Linked DNA regions of Macaca mulatta. The protein of the gene in region 1 purifies or fractionates together with the protein of each later gene. This does not show direct contact. Links are inferred from orthologs where the notes say so. Each region holds a gene or a part of one and is shown on either strand. Other genes may lie near its edges. The genes, in order: BTBD1 and COPS5.

Region 1 (4,324 bases):
AAATATGCATTTTTTCCTCTACATTCTTATACTAGTAAAGTCAATATTTTTTCAAAATAAAAAATTGCCCCAAAATAGCTTTAGATTTGTGATTCTCAAATTTAGTTTGTGTAAGTATCACTTAGGGAGAGTGTAAAAAATGCTACCAAGGTCTCGCCTCCAAATATTAAGGTATATAATGAGGACGGGATCTACACATTTCATAAGCACCCCAGAAGATTATAATGCAGATGGCCCACAGATCATTTTGAAAACTACTTCTGGTCTAGAAAATCCAAATGAACTATACCCAATCCTCCTGGTGAACTTTAAAATGACCTGGATTTTAGCTTTTAAGGTTCCCCCTCCTTTATAAATGTAATTGAACTAAATTACAGAAAATATCAGCAACAAAGAGAAAAGAAGAAAAAAAGGTACTTTCATCTTACTACTCCAGGTGCCTTTGCTTAGCATTTTGGTATGTTTCCTTTTATCCTTGTCTCTAGGTATATGTTTGTCCATTTCTTTTCACGTTGTAATCATGGTGCAGTTTCAAGTGCTATCCATCATATTTAGTGACCACATTATATTTCATCAAGTGAACCTATCACTGTTTAACCATTCCCTACAGCTGACTACTTCCTCACTACTATAAATAAAGTTGTAAATATTTTTGTACGCAACTTTTTTTCAGTACTTGAATGCTTCTTACATGTGGAAAGAAAATCTATAGCACCAAACTGTTTTCCAAAAGGGTTTTTACCACTATCTTTGTCAGATAACGCTGTTCAGATGTTACCTTTAAATTTTTTGGTGGGATTAATGGAAGGAAAAAATACCACTGTCTTTTATTTATTTATTTATTTATTTATTTATTTATTCTTTTTTTTTTTTAGAGGGAGTCTCGCTCTGTCGCCCAAACTGGAGTGCAGTGGCCAGATCTCAGCTCACTGTAAGCTCCGCCTTTCGGGTTTAAGCCATTCTCCTGCCTCAGCCTCCCGAATAGCTGGGACTACAGGCGCCTGCCACCTCGCCCGACTAGTTTTTTGTATTTTTTAGTAGAGAGGGGGTTTCACCGGGTTAGCCAGGATGGTCTCGATCACCTGACCTTGTGATCCGCCCGTCTCGGCCTCCCAAAGTGGTGGGATTACAGGCTTGAGCCACCGCGCACGGCCAAAATACCACTGTCTTTTAATTTGCACTTCCTAATTACCAGCCAGGTAAAACATTCGTTAATTAGTTGTATTTTTTCTTTGTCTAAGTTATCTATCCTGTTCCTTATCCATTTGTTAATGGAATCTTAGTATTTGTTTCTAGTTGTGTGAACTTTACATTCATTTCCTTGTTTGATTCTGATTCAGTGTGAACCTTTGTATCTAATTCTACCCCACTGACCTGCCTGTTTTTGCTTCAGTACTACCCAAGACTCTGCCACTTTAATAACAACACGTTCTACTCAGTCAGCTATTTAAAACCATCTTGGTATAATGAAACAGACATGGTCTTCAGTGTGAGTTAGCTGTTTGTTACCTTGGGCAAGATACTTGACTCTTCTCGGCCTCAGTCCCATTTGTAAAATTGGGGTAAACAATTCTTATGCCTCCTTAACAGGATGGCTGTGATTAAAAGCTAATAATGCCAAACAATCACATCTTTCCATTAGATGTCAATCTACTATCCTCAAATAACCAACAAGCAAATTCTAACATCAAGGGAGGGATGCATTTATAAGCAAATGTGACCTTGTGTGTAGAAACAGGAAACAGGTACAGCCTCACTTATCTGTTTTGGTATTTACTTTCCTGGGTCTTGACAACTAATACGTTAATGAAAAACAAAACAGTGGCCAGGCCCGGTGGTTTCACGCCTGTAATTCCAGCACTTTGGGAGACCGAGTGGGCGGATCGCTTGACCCCAGGAGACTAGCCTGGGCAACATAGTGAAACCCTCTCTCTACCAAAAAAAAAAAAATTAGCCGGGCGTGGTGGCGCGTGCCTGTAGTCCCAACTACTCGGGAGGCTGAGGTCGGAGGATCACAGCCCGGAGAGGTCGAGGCTGCAGCGAGCCATGATCGCGCTACAGCACTCCAGCCTGGGCCGCTTTCAAAAAACGCGGAGGGAAGGGGGGTGACAATAACCCCAAAACATCAGTCCTGCAAGATTTTTCAACTACTCCCTTCCCCCAGACAAAAACATAAAACATCGCAAATGAGCAATCGGGACAACCTGATCTGTCCCTCTATCCTTGCCACCTGTCTAATTCTGAATCCTGAGCGACAATCCACAATTGGAATGCGAAGCGCCTTTCAACGGTAAAACGTACGCTTGCTGGATGAAGACATGAACGTTTAGTTGGCGACTGAGCCGTCCCGGCTCACAGATTTCGATTTCGACCCTCCAGAGCATCAACGGCTCCGGAGGAAACTGAGGCCCCGGGCGGGTCAGAGGAGCCCAGCCCAAGGTCATCCGGGAGTCAAGGCGGGCCGGGCCCCGGGGGCCCCCTAGCCCGGCCCGCGCCGCCGCTCACCTCAGCAGCGCCAGGAAGGCGGCGGGCTCCACGTCCGGCAGCTCGATCTCGGCCGACGTGGTGGCCATGCCGCCGTTGAACATGGCGTCGAAGACAGCGCTGCCGGCTGCCAGCACGAAGCGGTGGGCGGGGATGCGCTGCGGGCCCCCGGCGGCGGCGGTGCCGCGGCCCTTGCCCAGTACGAAGCGCACATCGCTTAGCAGTTCTGAGTTGAAGAGGAAAGCAAACCGCTCCTTCAGCGACGCCTTGGTCGCCTGCCAGTTGTAAAGAGGTTCCCGCTGCAGAGGGAGCAGGGGCCCCAGAGAGGACGGTGAAGGCGGCGGCGGCCCCGCGGGGCCCGGCTCCGCCTCAGCCCCCGACGCCTGCTCCCCAGCTGCGGCAGGCCCGAGCGAGGCCATCCTCCAGCTGCGCGGTTGCCCAGGCTAGGAACAGAACTCCACCGCCATCGCCGAGACCGCCTCCGGAGGCCAGCACCGCCTCCCTGCCTTCCGGGAAAGGCGCTTCCGGGGGCCTTGCGCCTCCGCAGGCTCCTCCCTGACCGCGCGCGCCCCCGCACGCCGGGGTTGCCGCTGTGCGCGGCAGCGGGAGGTGTGACTGGACGGACTCGAGGAAGCCCAAGGGCAGGGGGGTGGGGAGCTCGTCCTAGTCCAGCGCTCTCGGAGGTGGAGCTTCTGCAGGCTGGGTGCTGCCGGGCCTGCGGGCACCCACCCCCTGGCTCAATCCTCTGGGTATTCTGACTCAGTAGGTCTGGGGTAGGGCCTGAGAATTTGCAATTTTAAGATGCATAGCAGATCTGCAGGCGGCTCGCACTCCTGCCTGGGGATGAGGGGCCGCGAAACCCGTGGAAATTCTGGGAGCAGAGGTGGAAGGCTTAGAACCCCAGTGACCTCTCTCCCCAGGTCCGCAGGTCCCTTTCCCTTCTAATTGCCCCTTTGGTTCGGTGCTCCAGGCTTAAGAGACATTTCCTTTTACTGTTTCTATCCCTGTACTTGAAACCCCTAGTACTTACCCACCTTCCCTTCTAGCGCTTGTTTTCAGTCCTTGCACTGAACAAACCACTGCTTAAGCTTGAAATTTAAAAAATTAAAAATTAAAAAACACACACACAATGGAAAAGGCTGTACTATCCCTTCCCAGTAAGTATTTACAATGCGGATCATCATGATTGGGGGACAGAGGCCTGCCTTCTCCCCCCTTCAGTGAGGCAGGCCCTGAGTTAAGTCAGCTGTTAAAGGCAGAACATAGAAAACCCAAGAAATAGTTATTGACCAGGCACGTATAGTTGGAAACACCTACTCTTTGCAGGAAGAGCCTTGCAGATTACAAATGCCTCAACTAAATAGTAAACTCCAAACCTGGGTTTCTCCTGTAAAATCACTCCACTTGTGAAACCACCAGAGGGGACTTCCAGCTGTTAGGCATTTAGAATGGTAACTTCTTTGGGAGAGGAACGTGCTCGGGAAGAGACTTAAAGCAGTAGGGACTGAAATAATGGATGCAACAACCCCTTCCCCAATGCCAGCCGGCAATTCCTCAAGACAAGGGGACATCATGCTACTAATGATACCATTATCACATAAAACATCGTGATAACAAAATTAACCATATCATCAAATCATCTATACATAATTTTCTTTTTTGACACGGAGGCTCGCTCTGTTGCTAAGGCTGGAGTGCAGTGGCACGAAGTCCGCCTCCCGGGCTCAAGCGATTCTCCTCCTCAACCTCCCGAGTAGCTGGGATTACAGGTGCCTGCTACCACATCCAGCTAATTATTTGTATTTTTAGTAGAGATAGGGTTTCACCATATTGGCCAGGC
Region 2 (3,817 bases), on another chromosome or scaffold:
CCAGAAAGCAAGTGCTTGACTGAGGCTCCAGATGGCAGTGGCTTGGGTGAAAATGATAGTAAGAGAGGCGGTGAGATATTTTTAGAAGGTAGATAAAACTGTCCCCATTGACTTCTTTAACATTAAAAAAATTTAAGATATAATTCATACATCATAAAATTCACCATTAAAAAAAGTATGTAGGCTGGGCATGATGGCTCACACCTGTAATCCCAGCACTTTGGGAGGCCAAGGCAGGTGGATCACGAGGTAAGGAGTTTGAGACCAGCCTGGCCGACATGGTGAAACCCTGTTTCTACTAAAAATACAAAAATTAGCTGGGTGTGGTGGCATGCGCCTGTAATCCCAGCTACTTGGGATGTTGAGGCAAGAGAATTGCTTGGACCCAGGTGGTGGAGGTTGCAGTAAGCCAAGATCATGCTACTGCACTCCAGCATGGGCAACAGAGCAAGACTATGTCTTGTGGGTCGTGGGGGAAGGTATGTAATACAGTGGTTTTTAGTAAGAATTCTTATACTTTATAACTTTAACTTTTTAATATGGCTTCTTTAATCTTTCAAATCTTTCAAAGATTAGAAAGAATCTTTGTTCAGTAGAAATTATATATTTTGAGGGCTGCAGACATGCTAGTGTCAGCTGGCCCTGAACCCATCTTTATCTTGTCATAATTTTATATAGGCCAAGTATCTTGTACATTGAAAAAATGTTTAGGTTGTGTAAAAGGCAAATGACATGCTAGTTTGAAACATTAATAAAAAATGCAAAAAAAAAAAATTAAAAAATGCAAACATTCACCTAAATTCATATACTATTATTGTAAAAGCTATCATGAAATGTATTTTGTGCTTTTTTTCTCATCTGTAAAAAAGGGCCTTGGACTGGTTGATATCTATGGTTTCTTTCAGCCTCCTGAGTGCTGGGACTATAGGACTGTGCCACCTCATCTGGCTAACTTTTATAACATGTTTTGTAGAGATGGGGTCTCACTATGTTGCCCAGGCTAGTGTTGAATTCCTGTCCTCAAGCAATTCTCTCACTTTGGCTTCCCAAAGTGCTGGGATTATAGGTGTGAGTCACCATGCCTGGCCCAGATATCTTTTTAAATTACTTACTGTTTGCAGTGTACACCAAAATCTTCTATTTTATTAAGTGGGATAGTCTGGTACTCAGAAGGTCCTTCATCAGGAGGTTTGTAGCCCTAAACAAAAATGAGGCAAACAGAAGATTAAAAATATATATATATAAACGAGAAAAACATCATGTTTTCTATGCAGCTTTCTAATTACAGGATTATTAATTTTGGGAGGCAAATACTTAACATGAGCATTCTAATAATAAAAAAAAAAATACTGTTTCTACTTTCCCCCTACCCTGTTTGGTGGCTATAGGCTGGATTTTGCTTACAGATTTATTTTTCTTCTCCTTAGGTGATGTACTTTTGTTCTAATTAACTATTTTAGATTGCAGGCTCCTGCCAGGGAAGGAAACAGACCTATAGATTTAGCTCGTTTTTTCTCTAGTACCTGTCAGAATGCCACAGGCACACAGATGGTTATTAAAGACTGCTTTCCCAGTAAAATTAACAATATATAACATAAATGTATTACCCTTTGCTAGGGACAGCTTGTGGTAGTTTACTATTTTGTAAATATTATTAAATTGTTTTAACAAAAAGAGATATTGCTAATGTCTTTAATAATAAGTCAAATATTTGGAATTTAAAACATGTAAGGACTTATAATTTTAAAAATTACTAAGCATTCCTACAGTCCCATCTACTTGGGAGGCTGAGTTGGCTTGAGCCTAGGAGATGAAGGCTGTAGTACACTATGATCATGCCTGTGAATAGCCACTGTACTCCAGCCTAGGTAACACAGTGAGACTCTATCTATCTCTTAAAAAAAAAAAAAAGTTACCTTTGGGTATGTCCTAAAGGCGCCAAGATTCACTTTCCCTGCAGATATTGTTCTTGTTGGATCAATCTATAAGAAAGATATATTTAATATTTACTGATATAAAACTGTATGCCTTTTATTGAAACATTATTAACCTAGAAATGTATACATACATATAACACTATATACATACACAATAACCAAATAAGAATAAACAAACCAAAAAACCAAAGAAGTTCAGTAAGAGGGTAATATAAGTGTCTCACAGCTAACTTAGAGATTAGAATTATTATAATATTTAAGAATATCATTTGAAGGTTTGCTCATCTCTTTTTAAAGTTTTCTTTTTTCCTTTTAAGAGATGAATAATTCCTACCTTCCTCATAAAACTGGATTGCACTTAAAACACCCTGAACATAATAAGAGCTGCTCTAGCAATTCCTGCTTATCTCAGATCAGTCAACACTGATTGAATGCCTATGATGAGCTGGCACTGAGACATAGATGCTATGACTATCCACATTTTATAGAGGGGGGAAGTGAGATACACAGTGGTTAAAAACACTTGCTCAAAGTCTCAGCTTCTAGGAGATGGAATTCACATTGAAACCTAGGCAGACTGACACCAGAGCAATTTCTCTTTACTACACTGTTATTATTTCTCATTATACTTGCTTCAGCAAATCTTCATAAAGAACTTAATTAAACTAGTTTTAAAATTCTTACCACCACTGCTACAAATGGTTCCTGGAACTGCTGATTGAGCATCTGAGTACTAACATCAATCCCAGAAAGCCAGCAGCCATAGCCAGGATGGCTATGATACCACCCGATTGCATTTTCAAGGCGGCCAACCTAACAAATGAAGGGGCAAAAAAGTTTAAGATTACTCTTTAATTAATTTATAAGGTACCAGTACAATAAAGGTAACCAGTCTCCTTCCCATCTCTTTCTCCTCAATTACCCAGTTTTATCAGCCCAGATGTGAAATCTATAGGCAATTGCTTACCCTTAGAGATATTCTTTGTATACAGAATACATATTCTTTGCATATATATAGATTGATAAAAACACACACAGTAGCATACCACGTAACAATAATAATGTTTTACACTTTGCTTTTTCACTCAATAAACTGCTTTGGAGTTTGCTTCACATAAGTCATCAATATACATGACGGTTACCTTTTTTTCTTTTTTTCTTTTAAAGGCTGCCTGGCAGTCCACTGATGGAATATACCATAATTTATTTAGCCAGTTTTATACTCAGTAACTGAGTTAGATTGTTTCCAAATTTTTTATTTTAAACACATATCTGGTAATAAGTGTGAGAGTTTATTTAAAAAAAAATAAAATCCATGCCATAGACCGGGTGCAGTGGCTCATGCCTATAATCCCAGCACTTTGGGAGGCTGAGGTGGGTGGATCACTTGAGGACAGGAGTGGCCAACACTCCTGTCCTGGCCAACACAGAGAAAACCTGTCTCTACTAAAAATACAAAAATTATGGAAGGGCATGGTGGCTCATGTCTGTAATCCCAGCACTTTGGTAGGCCAAGGTGGGCAGATCACTTGAAGTCAGGAGTTTGAGACCAGTCAGGCCAACACGGCAAAACCCATCTCTACTAAAAATACAAAAATTATCCAGGCCTACTGGTGCACGCCTGTAGTCCCAGCTACTCAGGAGGCTGAGGAGGGAGAATTGCTTGAGCCCAGGAGGTGGAGGTTGCAGTGAGCCAAGATCACGCCACTGCACTCTAGCCTGGGCAACAGAGCGAGTCCCTGTCTTGAAAAAAAAAAACACAAAAAACAAAAACAAAAAACCATGCTATAAATCTTATCAGGCTTTTAATCTCGTACATTTTACATATAAATCATTAAAATTTAAATATAACATTTCCTATAAAGGGGATAATTTTAAGT

What was found.
Region 2: the proteins of BTBD1 (region 1) and COPS5 purify together in Homo sapiens (affinity purification with mass spectrometry; 3 studies listed by BioGRID and IntAct, counting the BioPlex papers as one, with this or other methods). This does not show direct contact. The link is inferred for Macaca mulatta from reciprocal best matches to the Homo sapiens genes BTBD1 and COPS5.

Annotation. Positions count from the first base shown.
Region 1 is NC_133412.1:73,672,006-73,676,329, reverse strand, and holds the start of BTBD1 (BTB/POZ domain-containing protein 1), read right to left. Parts: upstream 2,975-4,324; 5' UTR 2,904-2,974; coding exon 2,506-2,903; intron 1-2,505.
Region 2 is NC_133413.1:77,749,422-77,753,238, forward strand, and holds part of COPS5 (COP9 signalosome complex subunit 5), read right to left. Parts: intron 2,751-3,817; coding exon 2,622-2,750; intron 1,983-2,621; coding exon 1,917-1,982; intron 1,199-1,916; coding exon 1,113-1,198; intron 1-1,112. UniProt on the Homo sapiens protein: Probable protease subunit of the COP9 signalosome complex (CSN), a complex involved in various cellular and developmental processes.